Linked DNA regions of Arabidopsis thaliana. The protein of the gene in region 2 interacts with the protein of the main gene of each other region in a pairwise test. Each region holds a gene or a part of one and is shown on either strand. Other genes may lie near its edges.

The links.
Region 1: the proteins of AT4G01920 (region 2) and TTL interact in a two-hybrid assay, tested with the Arabidopsis thaliana proteins (one large-scale study listed by BioGRID).

What each region holds. Positions count from the first base shown.
Region 1 is NC_003075.7:12,812,496-12,816,427, reverse strand, and holds the start of TTL (coiled coil protein), read right to left. Parts: upstream 1,623-3,932; 5' UTR 1,562-1,622; coding exon 1,299-1,561; intron 1,065-1,298; coding exon 938-1,064; intron 808-937; coding exon 516-807; intron 418-515; coding exon 341-417; intron 1-340. Other genes in the region: PAP24 (purple acid phosphatase 24), read left to right, coding at 1,988-2,167, 2,373-2,464, 2,549-2,618, 2,705-2,824, 2,906-2,998, 3,096-3,225, 3,337-3,418, 3,509-3,641 and 1 more. UniProt on the Arabidopsis thaliana protein: Key regulator for endosperm and embryo nuclear divisions.
Region 2 is NC_003075.7:829,134-833,065, forward strand, and holds the start of AT4G01920 (Cysteine/Histidine-rich C1 domain family protein), read right to left. Parts: upstream 2,156-3,932; 5' UTR 1,947-2,155; coding exon 1-1,946.

The DNA.
Region 1 (3,932 bases), about 12 Mb from region 2:
GATGTAGTTGAACACATGGAAAAAGATAGCCAAACAGTGAAGGAACTTTGATGATAAAAACAACACACAAAAGTATTTCTTACCCCAAACTTTAATAAAATTCATTCTGCCTAAAAAACCTCTCATATATAGAAGAATTTTTTTGATGTGCAAATTACGCATATAACACATAAGAAATTCCTGAACCAAGGAATACTTAAGACCATAAACTTTAGAAAAACTAGCCTATAACCAAAATTCTGAGCCAAAGAATCCTCATGATGAAACTAACAGGAAGCGTCATATAGATGCACCATAACCAGATTATCAGAATATCAATGTTACTATGACTGAAACCCACCTCTTGGGTGCAATAATTACCGTTGCCCGAGTAGTCCTTGCTTCTACAAGGAATGGAATGTTCGCCAAACCCGTTCCCTAGAAAATATAATTATAGAGAGTTAGAGACTATTATACACAACTTGTAAACACTTGGAAACTGACAAATTGTGGAGGTCGGAATCAACCAAAAATACCTGATTCATCACATAGAGGGAATTGGGAATCATCCATGTTCAGATATGAACCATTATGTATAACTCCAGGAATCTCTGAAAGTGATATCTGATACTCATTCGTATTATACTGTAAAGGCATAACATCATTTGATTTATATGAATTTATATGGTGTGCAGGAACTTTTTTAATTCTATCCATAGTTTCAAACGCAAGTTTAGTGTGGATATCATTAGATGTCCCAGACAGCTGTCCACAGGACCCTTCAAAAGATGCATCTTCATTTCCAAATGACTGACATTTTTTCTCCCACTGCATCCAGCATGAATAGAATTTCATTAGAGATTTCAACGAATAACATGGCTACACTCTTAAACCGCAAAGGTTGCAATTGAGATCTGTAAAAACAGAAGAGCATAATATTCAAGTAAATAGTGCATACCTTAGCTACATCAGCTTCTGAAATTCGGAACTCGTCTATGCAATCCATTGCCGGGCCATTTTTCGACAGAAATTGCTTGATATTCTTAAGATGATCGGAACTTGCGAAGTGATTGATAGCCTTAGAACTGATACAAAGTTTCCAAACAAAGTATTATGTGCAGTCAAATAAATCAATTATCATCAGAAGACGCATCAGTTTAGATACAATCCCAGTTTTCTAGCACAGTTTCAATCAACTCTTGCGCACTCTGATTCTACATTCAAATAAAGTAACACAGCTACTAATGTTCGCACAACAATGAACCCAAATCAAACAAACAGTCACAAATCGAGAGGAAAGAGAAAACGGAATGGCATACCAGGCGAAGGAGCTACCGAGCTCAACAATGTCCTCATCGCAGAAGACACACCAAACACGGTTTTGCGACTGCTCTTGTGGCCGTAGAACGCTAGGGTTCTTCAGGAAGAATCTGACGTCAGCTATCTTCGATCTGAATCGATCGAGTAAGGAAGAGAGGGAACTTTTGTGGCGAGGGAAGTACTTGTGGCGCGAGCCTTGGTCGTGATGAAACCGGCACACCGTGCAGAACTCGATTTCGCTCTTTTTCGATGGTTTCTTCATCTTCTTCTTCTTTCTTTCCAAAGTGACCCGAATTAGTGATGCGATTACAGCGCGATTGAAACCGAAGCCACGGTTGCCAAATTTAACAATCAAGCTTTATTAATTTCCGGTTCAAAGCCGGTCCGACCCGGATCAGCCTAATGTACATAAGTCTGAATAAAACGAAAATCCGTTTTTTCCGTTATCATTATTTGTTTTTAAAACAGTATGAACTATCATTAAGAAAAAACTGTTAGAATATTAAAAAGAAACTGTTAGAATATTCCTGACTAAAGATTTGACGGTGAAAGAAAATATTTGATTTTGTTTAATTCGATAGACATGAATCAATTTTGGGATTCCTAGATATATCCTGATTATAATATATATATATATACCTTTCTGGTTTTGTTTCTCAGTCACAACAAAGGAAAAACAAAAAAAAATATGGCTAGAGTTTTAGGTGTGCTTCTGTGTTTACTCGCACTGTTCAGCTCGAGCTTATGTTTGGATCATGCCAATGGTCGTGGAGATCAAGCACTTGCTCAAATTAATGTTTACGAAACAAGTCTTGCTTTAGATAGTTCTGTCAAACTTCACGCTTCGCCTCAAGTTCTTGGTTCCCAGGTTCCAATAACAAATTCTTTCATCATATTATTGTTCTTGTCAGATTCTTGTTTGACAGATATATATTAACTCTTAAGAGATGGTTTTTTTAAATGTCAAAAAAATTGTATGATAGACTTGAATATGTTTTCTTGATTTCACGTAATTATCACAAAAACCAAACTTAAATAGATATGTTATTGATGTCATGACTTTGATCTTACAGGGTGAAGATACAGAATGGGTAAATCTTGCTATCTCCAACCCCAAGCCCACTTCAGATGATTGGATAGGAGTTTTCTCTCCAGCAAAATTCGAGTATTTTTTCTAATCTGCATCTGTGTTTGTTAACTTGTGAACGTGCCATTTGTGCATTATTAACTTGTCTTTGTTGTTTGTTAGTTCGGGTAACTGTTGGCCAACAAGTGGTGGCAAAGAGAAAACTCCTTACATATGCTCTTCTCCCATCAAGGTTTGGTTTATTACATATTTACCAGTGATTTTTTTTTTTTTTTTAAGTCCCGGTGTAACATTCCCCTTTTAATTTCTATTTGGCAGTACATGTATTGTAATTCTCATCCAGATTACATGAAGTCCGGGAATGTGACTCTCAAGTTCCAGATTATAAATCAGAGAGCTGATGTCTCCTTTGCACTGTTTTCCAATGGAGTTCAAGAGGTAGGTTATAACTATAGTTTTTCTCAGTTTAGTATTTTGTATATCAAGTGGACTTAATTATTGATCTTTTGAATATCACAGCCACACCTTCTCGGGGTTTCGAATCCTGTAGCTTTCTTCAATCCTAAAGCACCTGTCTATCCGCGTCTTGCATTAGGGAAGAATTGGGACGAAGTAAGTTTTTCCACTCAATGGCCTTGAGACTTCTGAAGCAGCTATACAATATTTGGGATCTTTAGCTAAAACTTGCTTATTTTTCTATCTTTGATAGATGACCGTGACATGGACTAGTGGGTACAACATAGATGAGGCTGTTCCTTTCATTGAATGGAGTGCAAAGGGACTTCCAGCTAGAAGATCACCAGCTGGAACATTGACCTTTAACAGAAACAGCATGTGTGGTATGTCCTGTTTCGCTGTGATCTCTGAGCCAGCAGTCCTGGAATATCTGAAACTACTCATCTGGATCATTCTAGAGATTTGATTTGTGGATGCATGCTATGTTTACACAGGTAATCCTGCTCGCGGCGTTGGTTGGCGTGATCCTGGTTTCTTCCATACTTCTTTCTTGAAAGAACTTTGGCCAAACCGCGAGTATGAAATCTTTAGTTTGCTTCTTTATCGTCTAATCCAGGAGCACTAATATAGTTTCATACATGTAACTCTCAATCCTTTGGTTTACAGATACATATACAGGCTAGGCCATGACTTGGTCAATGGTTCCACAATTTGGAGCAAGAATTACACCTTTGTGTCCTCTCCTTATCCTGGACAAGACTCGAAACAACGGGTCATAATATTTGGTGACATGGGAAAGGTATGGTATCGTCTCTTTTAGGCCATTATGATCTCCATGCGCTCTCAGACTAATATCTAAAATGATTTTCCTTGATTGAAATATGTTTCAGGGTGAGCGAGATGGCTCGAATGAGTACAATGATTACCAGCCTGGTTCCCTCAACACAACAGACCAAGTCATCAAGGACTTGAAGGACATTGACATTGTTTTCCACATTGGAGATCTCACTTATTCCAATGGGTATCTCTCCCAGTGGGATCAGTTCACAGCTCAAGTCCAGCCCATTGCTTCTACTGTACCCTACATGAT
Region 2 (3,932 bases):
TCAAGAGAGCAGGAGTATTCATTCGTGGCTCCAAGTGTCTTCAAGATGATAGGAAAAATACAATGCATCTTACACCAGCTGCAAAATGGACGAGATATACTATTATTGAGCACCACCTCATATGAAGTGCCCTCAATTTTTATTGTGCTTCTTCGCATGAGACTTGAAAGGTCTCCAAGCACACACTTTGTATGCAAACTAGCCTGATGATCTTTACACGTATAGAACCATGTATGTGGATTTGTTTCTTTTTCACAAATGTCACACCAATATTTACCACTTGCCTTTTCGCCATAGCATAGTGAGAGAGGATGATCATGAACTCTATGCTTTACCATTTGTGGTAAAGTGGCGCATCCAAAGCATAATAAAAATCCACAATTATCTTCAATGCAACTAAGCACAAAGTCCTGCTCCATGTTGCAACCAGTGCACCATTGTACTTCGTCTGATGGAAAGTAATATAAGGGATGATTAGGATGACTTGGATGGATATGTGGCTCAGAAATTGAAATGCACCGAACATCGAATGCCTTATTCCCATGCTGGTACTTGAAACCATTGGACAATCTATCACAAGCATAACACCTAAAGCCTTCATCCTTGTTTGTAACCAACGTAAGACGTTCATTGTGTAGCACATGCCATTTCATTCTAAGAAATCCAGCGCAGTTTTGGTGGAGAATGAAGTTACAATCCATACAGCCGTAGAAAGACTGGAGACAGATGGGATGGGTGCATGCCTTGCACCGCTTGTTGTCATCACATAGAACACCATTAACGTTGAGTCTTAGGTAATGCTCTTTGTGACTAAAATGTTGTATTGTGTTTTCATCTATCACCACATATGGCTCTATATCTTCTGTTTCTTCGGGTAATCCTTCAAGTTCTTTCCCATTCCACACATCTTTTCTAGTAGCACATTTTGAATGAACAACATAGCCATGACACCTCTGACAAGAAAAACCTCCATAAGACCAGTCCACCTTTTTGCGACAAACTCCACATACAGAATTCACAACACCAAGAACAGAAGTTCGAGAAACACGGTGATCATGCCGGTTAATGTTGATGAGGCGTGGAAGGCCAAGACAGTCTTGATGGATCATGAAACCACATTGAAAACATACGTAAGGGCTACGATCTCCCTTCAGCCCGCAAGCATTGCATGTAAAAGAATCGAGTTTTGGGAGAAGGGTGAGTTGGTGATCATGAGCTTTCAAATTCAGAAGAGATTGTTGTGGTGGGCGCAAAACACAAACCTTGTCCAAGGTAAAGTTACACGGAGAACAATGGAAAAAAAATGTTTCATCAATCTTTCTTGCGCAAAGACGACATTTCCCATCAGAATAATCCGGTAACTGACCCTTTGCGTAGAGTTTAAGAGGGTGTAAAGAGTGGTAAGAATGGTTTACCTCTAAACGGAGTTCTAGTTCGGGCGGATACCATACGCAATCCACATGAAAGGATAAATCACATTCATGACAATTGTAAGGAAACTCATTACCAATAATCTTGCAACATTTAGCACATATACATTGCTTGATCCACTTCTTGAGAAGGGTAAGCCTGTGGTGATGCGTCTTGGAAATGTCAATAACCTCTGGTGGTGGATACTTTGAGCAGTATAAATCCATGTCGAAGTCACATAGATCACAACGATAGAATATTGGGCACATCCTTCCACACAAATTGCAGAAATTAGTAGGTCTTTCAGGTCTTAGCAGCTGAAGAGTGTGCTTGGGGTGAGATGGATGCTTGATATATTCGGAGGGCTCGTCAGCACAATTTTTTCGGACGAAAAAATCGCAGGTTTTGCAGTAGTATCCATCACTGATAGCTTCAAAGCGTCCACAGCAACCACAGCAAGGACCTCTTTTCAGATTTTTCCAAGGCATCATAAGATGCTCGTGGATCAACGGCATTAACACTCCCTTAGAATCCATGGTCGTTTACTAAGAGATTTTGAAGAAGAAGAAGTTGGATATGAAATCTCAAAGCTAAGTTTCTTTCACGTTTCTCTCTCTCTCTCAAAAGTCTTCTCTCTTTAATTTCAACGATGCTCTTATGAAAAAGAAGATTGGATCTGAAATCTCAAAGCTAAGCTCCTTTCTCTCTCAAAAGTCTTCTCTGCGTTAATCTCAAATCCTCAACGATGCCCTTACAAAATTATTTTTTTATTAGACTTTTGGTTTTATTGGTCTTTCATTAACAATAAAAAATAATTAGGCCCAAAACCCGCACCGTGCCGGTTTTTTCATGCATTTTGTTAGTTATAATAATTAATAATTTACATCAACTGAATTAATTTTATAAACAATCGTTTTGGTGTTTTTTTCTATGATTATCATTTTGATGTATCTTCTAACTCTCAAGTAAATGATTCATTCTATTTATTATGTTTATTTATTTATTTTTAGTTACAATGTTTAATATTTATTTACAATTACTTAACTTAGATATACAAAAAAATAAATTATTATCTTTAAAGTATTTTAAGGGTTTTGTGCAAAAACCACTATACCTCATCCATTTTTGCAACTTCAACCTCTACCTCCATCAAATACAGATTAATCATTAACAATATAAAATAATATGCATTATAACCCTCTTTTGCCTTTTTTTTTGTTACCAACAATTTTGTAAAATATCGATAATAATATGTTAAATTAAAACTTTCGCGAAGAAGAATTTAACTTTACCTTCAAAATTTTAAAAATCTAATGTATATAACCGTAAAAACGTTTACAATATATATATATATATAAAGATCATATTTTGTATTATTTTAGACTTCATAAAAATAATCTGCATTTATTGGAGGTAGAAAATAAAGTTGCAAAATGGATGAGTTAGCACAAAACCTTATTTAAAAGTAAACGGAAAAATAGTTTTACAATATCAATCATTAGTATTATTTTATTAAAATGAACCACTAGTTTAAAATAGTCAATTTTTAATTCTTTAGTCGTATCAATTAGCACTATTTATATAAAAAATGAAAATGAAAGAAATCTAAAAACATTGGATTCGGATCCATTTTTAAACTCTGAACTATTTTTTTATGAGCTGGATATCTCAATTATTTTTTAATTCACTAGATCTTGGAATTAATATTCATATTAACGTTTGAAACAGCTAGATCGTCAAAGTCAAAATTGCAACATTCATAGATAAATAATACATGAAGGAAATCAACTTATTATAATGGAAATGAACATGTAAAAGAAATGGTACAAGAAATCTAAAAGAAAAGCCCACTCTCTGGACATCTTGATTCATATGCATTACATAGCGCAATAACCAGTAGTTGGCATTATGTTCAATACAACGGCGTAAGTAAAGATCCTTCATTCCAAAGACAAGGCATAATTGTTTGAAACAGCTGATCATATCAAATTAAAATTGCAAGTTTCTTAGATCTAATTTCTTTTTTTTTTCTTTTCAAAAGAAAGACACAAATCTTGGCTTGCCTTAAAACGTGTGTACATGTTGATAAAACATTTTCATTTCGGTCTCTAGATTCTGCGAATAATAATGAATGGAGTCTGTGTTTGGTTTCATGTTGAATCAATCAAGATGTGTTTTTAACTGTAAATGAATTATGCAGAAAACATCTGTCCTGGTTCTCAGACATCGGAACTCTGTTCCTAATAAAAACTGAAGTCCCTGTTTTTATGTTAGTAATCTGAAACAACAATTGTTTGAAGACGCCATTGCCAAGATTTCTTGCAACAATGGTTTACTTTCTTACTATTTCTAATGATCCTGAAACAGACTATACAATACGTTGAGAAAGAAGCGAAAAGCTGACAATCATGATAATGCAAGACTGATAGTATTGTGTTGTTCATTTTCAAGGTGAAATTTTGTAGAAAACGAATGTCAGAAAGCATTTGAAACAGCAAGATCGTATCAAACTAAAATTGCAA